2 linked regions of the Coturnix japonica genome follow. The main gene of each other region encodes a partner of the protein of the gene in region 2 in a complex. Links are inferred from orthologs where the notes say so. Each region holds a gene or a part of one and is shown on either strand. Other genes may lie near its edges.

Region 1 (4,506 bases), about 590 kb from region 2:
TGTGATCTATAAATAAATATGTTTTGGTTTATCTCCCTTTCTCTGCCTTAATCCTCTGCATTCGGTCTTCTCCAAAAGTCACAAACCAATGATTAATTGCAGCAACTCACTGAGGATGTAGTTGAAAAGATTGCAGTAGTTGTAGTAAGATTCAAATCTCTGCTCCAGAGTGGGCCCCCCCTGCAGCGAGAAGACATTACAGTCCATTTAGTCTGAAGTACAGCAAAACTAATGGTCCTTTATGGGCAATAGCCTACAAAGGACAGCCAACAGTCAAGGCAATAGATCTGTTTTGGTGACATTAGAGCTGATATTCAACCACCCACCAATCACTAACATCACCCAGAACAAATTAAATTGTCTCACTGTTGTCCAGTAGAAGAAGGCTGCCTTTTCAAGTCCAGGTAGCTTCTAGTACAACTAAGTGATGAAGTCTCATGTGAATAGAATACTTTAAGTCTCCTTTTCCTCCTCTGTGCTGTCCAGACCTAAGAACTGCCTATTAACCTACACAGCTTTTTGTCCTCTTCCCCTCAAGGAAGGTCTTTGTAAATCCCAACAACACAGCTGCTTCTAGACAATCATACCAAAGAATCATAGAATAGCTTGGAAGGGACCCTGCTGTGGACAGGGCCACCAGTTCAGCCCCCATCCAACCTAGCCTTGAACCTCCAGGGATGGGGCACCCACAGCTCTCTGGGCAGCAGTGCCAGTGCCTCACCGCCCTCTGCATAAAGAATAAGTTTTAAATGCTCTAGAAGACCGATAAACACAGGAGGGAATCACTCTTCCTAGAATTATCTTGTGTCACCTGTAGACACCCCATGGGCAGCTTGGGAACCTCCTACAAAATAACTCAAGCAACCAGTTTCACCTGTTCAGGCAAGTCTTTGATTTAGGAACTTCAAAAAGACTCCTGCATTAACCCATTTCTCCACCCTGTGGTCCAAACCAAAACTGCAATTATTACTCATTCACCATGTAAGTCACACACCTGTCCTGCTTCTTTCTTACAGCCAAGAACTACTCTGATTTTCCTACTGACTTCAAATTAGCCTTTTTAAGGGAAAGAAGCATGGTTTGTTGTTGTTGTTTTTTTAATAGACCATTATTCCTTCTGTCTTCTTCTCCTGTATCCTCTGTGGTGCCAGTTTCTTCCTATCCACAAAACACTCTGACCCCGTATGGTCTTTCAATTACAAGTAACTCAAACTCCTCTTGTGACACCCCCTCATACACCTGCTAGCCTGAAGAAGAAATAAAGAGTCATGAAGAAACACACAAAACTGACCTGTAAGTCATGCAGTTATACAGCTCTAACAGAGAGAAAATTCAGCTATTTCTAACTCGACCCATACCTCCTAAATCTATTCAATATTGTTTTGCAAAACTTTGGAACCACTGATGCTTTAACAGCAGTGCAACTTGTTCACTTTGATGGCAGAAGAACCAAGCGCAACTAAAAGACACAGAGCAAATACTCACGCTGACTTTGGCGTAGATATGCCTATAATACAGCTCCTTGTACAGGATGAGGAAAACTGCATCTGGAAGAGATGAGAGAACTGGATATCAGCAAACCATGAAGCTTAGGCAACTGGATCTCTGAGGCACCGGTGATGTTCCTACTGCCACAGTTACAAGGACAAGTAAAAGAGGATGCTCATTCATCTGACTTTCTGATAGGCATCTACAGAAGGAGCTGCCATAGCAAAGATGAGTGATTCATAAAAACCACATGCCAGCTCCCTAACACATCAAAAGTAATTTAGTTCCTTCATTCTCCTGTAAGGAAAACAGAGTGGAAAAGAAATGCTTACCATTTCCAACCTGTGGGGCAATGGCCTCTGCCTCTGGCCATGGGGTGTTCTTGAAAAACCTTTCTGTTAGCTTTGTCCAGCTGAAAGATAAGACGTGGGGTATGAGAAAACATCCCTGAGCATCACAGAGCTGCAGTTAGAAACCACAGTACAAAGGGCTTGGACTTGATAGGACACTGTCTCCCTTCAAAACTGGTGTTACTAAGGAATTAGAATGGCAAACAAAGCAGTTAAAAAACTGACCATAGAATGGCTTGGGTTGGAAAGAACCTTAAAGATCATCTAGTTTGCATCAGTATTACCGACAACTAAATCAGCTACCAGACTGAGTTGCCCTGGGTCCTATCCAACCCGGCCTTGAACACTTCTAAGGACTGGGCATCCAGAACCTCTCTGGGCTGCTCCAATGCCTCAACAGCCTCACAGTGAAAAACTATCACATCTAATTTTAGTTTTCAACTGTTGCCCTTGTCCTATCACTATCTGCCCATGTAAAAAAGCCGAGTTCCCTCCTGTGGGTAAGCTCCCTTCAAGTACTGGAAGGCTGCAATGAGGTCTCCAGGCTGAACAAGCCCAGCTCCCATCCTTTCTTCACAGAAGAGGTACTCCAGAGGTGGCCTTCCCCTGGACCCACTCCAACAGCTCTACATCTTTCTCATACCGGGGGCCCGGGGCCTTTAAGTATGGGAGGTTTTAAGCAGTGAGAATGCAAGGACAGCCCCGCACCTGTTCTCATAGATGTCCTGGATCTCATACACCTTCTGGTCAATGACATCGCTGGAGACTCGGCTGGCCTGCAGCTCGTACACCTTCTGGTCGATGAGGTCGGACACGGTCTTGTGGAAGTACTGGATGAAGTTCTTGATGACCTCGGGGATCACCTGGTACGTCTGCTGCTCGTACTGCCGCTCGTAGGCCAGATCCTGCTTCGGGTCTCCTGAAGGGAAAGAGGCGGGTTGTAAGCCCGAGGCCTACAGCCCCCACCCCGCGGGGCGGCCCGCACCGCGCACTCACCCGTGTGCATATCATAGTCGTTGGAGTAGGCGTACGGGTCGTAGGCGGCCTGTGAAGACACGATGCGGGGATGTTACCGCGACGAGCACGAACCGGACCCACAAACCCCCCCCCATCCCCGCAGCCCGCCCCCCGCTCGCACATCGTTGTCGTAGTCCTCCCCCGGGTAGGCCATGGCGCGGCGCGGGGCCTGGGCAGGCAGGAAGAGGAGGTGGGACCAAGCGGCACGCTCCGGAAGGCCGGCCGAATTTGTTTAGTCTCTCTATTGGTTAAAATAACTGCTTGTCTTCAGAGGCTTTTCTCTCTGATTGCAGAGTCCGCCTGCCCGTCTGCACTATGTCAGCGACGACCCTTCCCGCCCCTCCCCTCACACCCCGTACCGCCCGGCCCGGCCCGTGAGGGAATGGAGGCCGAGTCTGCTGCGGGGACGGAGTCGGAGTCCGCTCTGGGAGCCGGGATGGCGCTGGGAGGGGCGGCGGGGGAAGCCTCCCTCGGCTACCTGCACGTCCTGTGGCAGCGAGAGGAACCTGCCGGCAAGATCCCGGCCCGCCGCCTGCGCAGGGCCGCCCGCATCCACCGTCGCCTGGGGCCTACGGGCAAGGAGAGCCACGGTGAGCGGGAGCGGGTTCCCCCTTCCTCCCCTGCCCCCTTCCTCCTCCGTGCTTCACACTAATGGCTTTCTTTCCTCCCCAGCCCTGAAGAGGCTGCGTGAGGCTGCCAATGGCAACGACCTGGACACAGGTGAGACTTCAACCTGACGTGAAGCCACTTCCTGGAAAGGCAGTTTGTTCAAAGCTCTTTGTTTCAGCAGAGGACGAGGAGAAGGAAGGTGCAGGTAGTTTGCAGGAATCTTCCTTTAGTTGCTGAAGATCTAGAAGTTGCTTCTCTTGAGCCTTTTGTTCCGTTCTCTGAGCAGAGTGAGACTGATTGTTATATTGATTTTTTCACTGTATTGGGTCCAGCTGCCTCAGGCTAGATTAGCAATCAGCTGTTATTCCAGCTTTTTGGTACGTAACTTTTGCCCACTCATCAGCTCTGTGACTCTCTTGACTTCCATGTACTGTAGATCAGCTGGGTTTTGATCCTAAGCATTCATCAGCAATACTGGCATATGTCATTTGCCCCCTGTCGTGGTTCCTCCTTTGTCTGTTATCAGACCATGTTGTGAACAATCGGAAATAGACGGGATTTGTAACAACCCCTGGCATTACAGGATGGGGTGATGTTGTACCCTCCAGCTTTACAGTACACCTTGTTTCATGAACTGATGGATGCATTCATCTGTGAGCTCTGACCTTGTGCAGGGTCCATACTTACCTGCAGAAGAGCTGGTAGCATCACCCCTTTCTGATCAGGTGTCCCTTCAACTTACCTGCATCCTTTTCTTTCTTGGCACTGCCAGTGCAGCAACTGCTGGAGGATGGAACTGACCCCTGTGCTGCGGATGACAAAGGCCGGACAGCCCTGCACTTTGCCTCCTGCAATGGCAATGATCACATTGGTGAGTGGGAAGGGGATCTTCAGTCATCCATTTTCCATTTACTGTCTGCATAAGCTGGACAGAAACATCCCTTCTGCAGCCTGCAAGCTGCCACATGGACTAGTGGGTCAGCAGCGCACTGCTAAATGACCTTTCTTACGCCATTAAGGTGCTGTCAGTGGGGCAGAGGAA
Region 2 (4,320 bases):
CAGAGGAATCACGAGGCTTCTGCTGCGCGGCCAGAGGTGAAAAGGGTAAAGGGAGAAAACACACATAGCACATCAGGATTTGTGCACGAGGACATACAGACATCAGCACATACAGACAAACTAAGCCATCACCAGGGTCAGGAAGCTGGCTAATTTACCTGTGACTTCTGGTCCCATTTCTGCCTCACTCCAAACTGCTTCTGAAACTTCTTTTGGAGGCGCAAACGATCCCTACAATGACAAATAGGTGAAAAGCCATTACAACAAGTTCTCAACACAAGAAGCTCCCTGCCACGACTCCCACACTTCCAAATAATCACCAGAGGAACAACGTTTGCAGGCTGAGAATTTGGCTATCCAAACAACTGAAGTGTTAAGAGCTTTGTTCTGCACTCTGAACACCCTTTATATGTTTTTATCCTTAATGACCACAACACAGTTTCCAGGAAGAGCACATCCTGCTTTAAGTTGTCACACTTACCTCCTAAACTTGACTCAAAACATCTCCTAGATTCTTAAATAGCTGCCTGAAATCCATGCTTGTAACTACTGGGCGCATCAGCAAACATTAAAATACCCTGAAATGCTTTGCTAGGAACTTTGGTGGGTTCTGTTACAGTAACTTAAATTACTCGTTAACAGTATGTTCACACACTCCAAGTACAGAATGCTTGTATGTGAAGCCCGCACCTCTCTTTCTGCTTGGCACTCTTTGGCAGCGTCTGCATGCTGAACTGCAGCATGTTCCGGCGGTCCTTGTCTCTCCGAAGGTTCCTCTGTGGGAATGCAGCAAAGAATAAAAGGACAGATTAGTGGCAAAGTAATTCTGTATTGCTCAATCTCTTTTTTTGAGCCTGTTTCTGAAAGTAAAGCTTTACCTGTGCAAATCGCATGCGATTCCTCTGGTATGCAGTTTTCTGTGTCCGGGCTGTATCCACCAACTGGAAGCTGGTCTCATCCTCCTCATGGAAATACGCATATTGACTTCCACCACCAAACTGTGATGAGTACTTGTCTGGAAATAAAATAAATCATTTTGCTATGAAGCTTGGAAGCAAAAATATGACACTCCACCCGCCCCCCCAGTTTTCCTCAGTAGCCTTTACTCAAGTCTAATGCATCAACTAGGACTCCTGCATTAGACTGTCACATTGCCTCCCTGCTCTGAACCTCCCAGAGAAGCACCAGTCAGCACATGGAACAAACCCACAAGGGAACCCTAAGGGCAGGGAGAGCCCCACGCAGCTCTCCAAGCGGTGAGACACGCTTCTGAAATTAAAGAGCCTCCTCTGCTGAGGTGTGTATGTAGCCGGTAGAGCCAGTGGGAAACACGAAAGCAGGGATGACGTTTGAAGTAAGCTTTGCACAAAATAAATAGCAGGAACAGCCATTGGACAACACGTACTTGTGTATCTCTTATCCTGATACGTGGCTCCTGTCCAATCTGCCACCTAAGGACAAAAATATACAGTAAAAAAAAAAAGCAAGTGTTAATATGATGTGTGTGTCGTCCCCCCCCCCAGTAGGGCCTCAAAAGGCAAAATAAGGGACTGCTGTATGCACCTCAACTCCCACCTCCATAAGCAAGCCTCACAGAATGCTCACAACTGTCAAGGTGCTGGAGAACCATATAATGTCATATCTCAGAATGGCTCAGGTTGGAAGGAATCTTAAAGAATATCTAAATCCTGCCCCCCACCAGCTCATTCACCGGCTTTAAGCTGCAGGTGTATGGGCACCACAGCTCTCTGGGCAGTCTGTGCCAGCGCCTCAGCGTCCTCTAAACAAAGAATCACAGAATGACCCGGGTTGGAAGGGACCTCAAGGATCATGTAGTTCCAACCTGCCTGGCAGGCGCCAAACATACACCTTACTAGATCAGGTTGCGGGCCCGTCCAACCTGGTCTGAACACCTCAAGGACGGGCATTCACAACTCCCTGGGCAGCCGTGTCCAGGGCCTAACCACTTTCCTAGTGAAGATTCCCCTAAAATCCAACCTAATCTTCCCTCCTTCAACTTAAAACCATTTCCCCTAGTCCTGCTATTATCAGCCTTTTGAAGAGTTTACTCCCTCCTGGGAGTAGTTCCTTCAGTACTGAAAGGCTGCAATGAGGTCACCCGCAACCTTCTCTTCTCTAGGCGAACACCAACTCCCTCAGCTGTTCCTCATAGGGGAGTGCTCCAGCCCCTGATCATCTTCGTGGCCTCCTCTGGACCCTTTCCAAAATTCCATGTTTTTTGTACTGAGGGCTCCACACCTGGACACAGTATCCAGATGGGCTCACAAAGCAGAGTAGAGAGGACGATCTCCCTATCCTGCTGACCACCTCTCCTGATGGAGCCCAGGATCCATTTGCTTTCCGGGCTGCCAGAGCGCACTGCTGGCTCATGTTGAGTCTTTCGCACACCAAGACCCCCAGGTCTTTCTCTGCCGAGCAAAAAAAGAGACCCCTCCCAACGTCTAACCCAGCTCCCCACTCTGGTAGCTCAGCAGAGGCACAGGGGTGCACCCAGCAGCCACACAGCGCAGTACCTTGCCCAGGCGGTCCCCCTTGCTGAAGGGCTGGTAGGGCATATCCTTGAACTGCTCGGGCACGGCGCACGGGCCCCAACCCGAGGGGTTGTCCTGGATCACGGGGGTCACGAACTTCGCCATGGCTCACAGCCCTGCGGGGAACAAGCGGAACGTTCCTTCAGCACCCGCCCCGTCGGCGCCACCGTGAGGGGAAGGGGCACCGAGGGAGCCCGGAGCGGGCGCAGGAAGGCGGGGGCGCCGGCCCGGCCCCACCGGAACCGGCGGTAACGCCTGGGCGGGGCCGGGGGTCGCGCTGCCCGCGGGCCGGTCCCGGTAGGACGGCGGAGCGTGACGGGGCGGCCGCGGCGTCCCCTCACCTGAGCGGCCGCGTTACGGCCCCGATGGCGACGGATACGACAGCGGCGGCGACGGCCGGCGAGGAAAGGCCGCGCGCAGCCCCGTCCCGCCCTTATTGCGTCAGCACTGCGCGACGGCGCCGCCGCGCACCACCGTCGTAAAAGAGAGAGAGCGAGGGGGCGGAGCGCGACTGCCGTAAAGCGCGGATCTCCCGTTAGGCGCAATGCGCCCCGTGACGTCACCGCCGGCATCGGGCTGTACGTGGTGGGGTGTGACGTCACCACGGCTTTTACTTACCCGGGGGGTAGGGAGGGGGCAGGGTGGGTTCGTCGCGTGCCTTACATAGGATCATTAAGGCTGGAAAAGACCTCTAGGATCACCCGGTCCAACCATCAGCCCATCCCCACCATCCCCATGACCACGTCCCTCAGTGCCACATCCACACGGCTCTGAACACCTCCAGGGACGGTGACTGCACCACCTGCCTGGGCAGCCTGTGCCACTGCAGCACCTTCCTCATATCTCAATCTTTCCTCATATCCAACCTGACCCTCCCCTGAGGCCATTCCCTCTCACCCTATAACTGTTACCTGTGAGCAGAGGCCGACCCCCACCTCACCACAACCTGTTTGCAGAACGTCCCTGGGTATCTTGCACCATCTGAGTCTAGATCAATATTTTGCAGGCAGAGCACCGTGCATTTCCTCCTTTATTTACTGCGTTTAAACCCTCCTCGAGAAATAACCGAAGCAGTCTGCTTTGCCAGGAGGCTGCGCCATTAATCAGAAGTCGGATTATTAAAGCAGTTTTCCCCGCTAGCAAAAAGAGAAATCCACTTACAGAAACACGGTTTATAAAATACCATTTGTAACTCTCACAGGCAAACAGCCTTTGTGGTGACAAACGTCAGTGCTGGAACAGCCCTGGATATCACAGACTCAACCTGAGCATAGCCACGTTCAAGTCATGCTTAGGAAACGTAAAAGGAAGTCCCAAAGAGCAAACGGAATGAAGAAAGAGAAAACAACTAGACTGATAAACCTAGACTCTGCATTCCCCCTGCTTGCCTGTTCCCTTACAGTCCTGTGTGAGGTGCTGAAAGGCAAGTGTAGCGCTGCTGCTGCCTGCTGAAGAGTGCTGGCACTTCGGGCCCAGCCCCTCAGGCTGCCTCGTCTGGGAATGGAGCTGGGTATTAGTGTGTCTCAGAGGGGAAAGCAAGCACAGGGAATGGCCATCAGAGAACAAATGCTCTTTTAGGCACATCATAACCTACCGGTTTCTTATCAAGAGGAGAAACTTCAGCTGCAAGAAAAATCCAGCCTTGAGGAAGGTGAGATTTGTTCCCCCATTTAAGTGGGATTTACTGGAAGAGGGGACAGGGTGGCTTTGGCTCACGCTTACTTGGCACCAGACCCTGCCCAGCTCACCTCCTGTCCTGGGCTGCACT

The links.
Region 1: EIF3D (region 2) and EIF3L share a complex: the UniProt entries of both Homo sapiens proteins name them as parts of the eukaryotic translation initiation factor 3 (eIF-3) complex. The link is inferred for Coturnix japonica from reciprocal best matches to the Homo sapiens genes EIF3D and EIF3L.

The regions. Positions count from the first base shown.
Region 1 is NC_029516.1:46,630,441-46,634,946, forward strand, and holds the start of EIF3L (eukaryotic translation initiation factor 3 subunit L), read right to left. Parts: upstream 3,102-4,506; 5' UTR 3,010-3,101; coding exon 2,977-3,009; intron 2,884-2,976; coding exon 2,835-2,883; intron 2,758-2,834; coding exon 2,547-2,757; intron 1,901-2,546; coding exon 1,821-1,900; intron 1,548-1,820; coding exon 1,486-1,547; intron 181-1,485; coding exon 111-180; intron 1-110. Other genes in the region: ANKRD54 (ankyrin repeat domain-containing protein 54), read left to right, coding at 3,238-3,445, 3,528-3,575, 4,237-4,335. UniProt on the Homo sapiens protein: Component of the eukaryotic translation initiation factor 3 (eIF-3) complex, which is required for several steps in the initiation of protein synthesis.
Region 2 is NC_029516.1:47,223,585-47,227,904, reverse strand, and holds the start of EIF3D (eukaryotic translation initiation factor 3 subunit D), read right to left. Parts: upstream 3,012-4,320; 5' UTR 2,894-3,011; intron 2,669-2,893; 5' UTR 2,658-2,668; coding exon 2,535-2,657; intron 1,452-2,534; coding exon 1,406-1,451; intron 1,016-1,405; coding exon 879-1,015; intron 777-878; coding exon 691-776; intron 232-690; coding exon 159-231; intron 23-158; coding exon 1-22. UniProt on the Homo sapiens protein: mRNA cap-binding component of the eukaryotic translation initiation factor 3 (eIF-3) complex, a complex required for several steps in the initiation of protein synthesis of a specialized repertoire of mRNAs.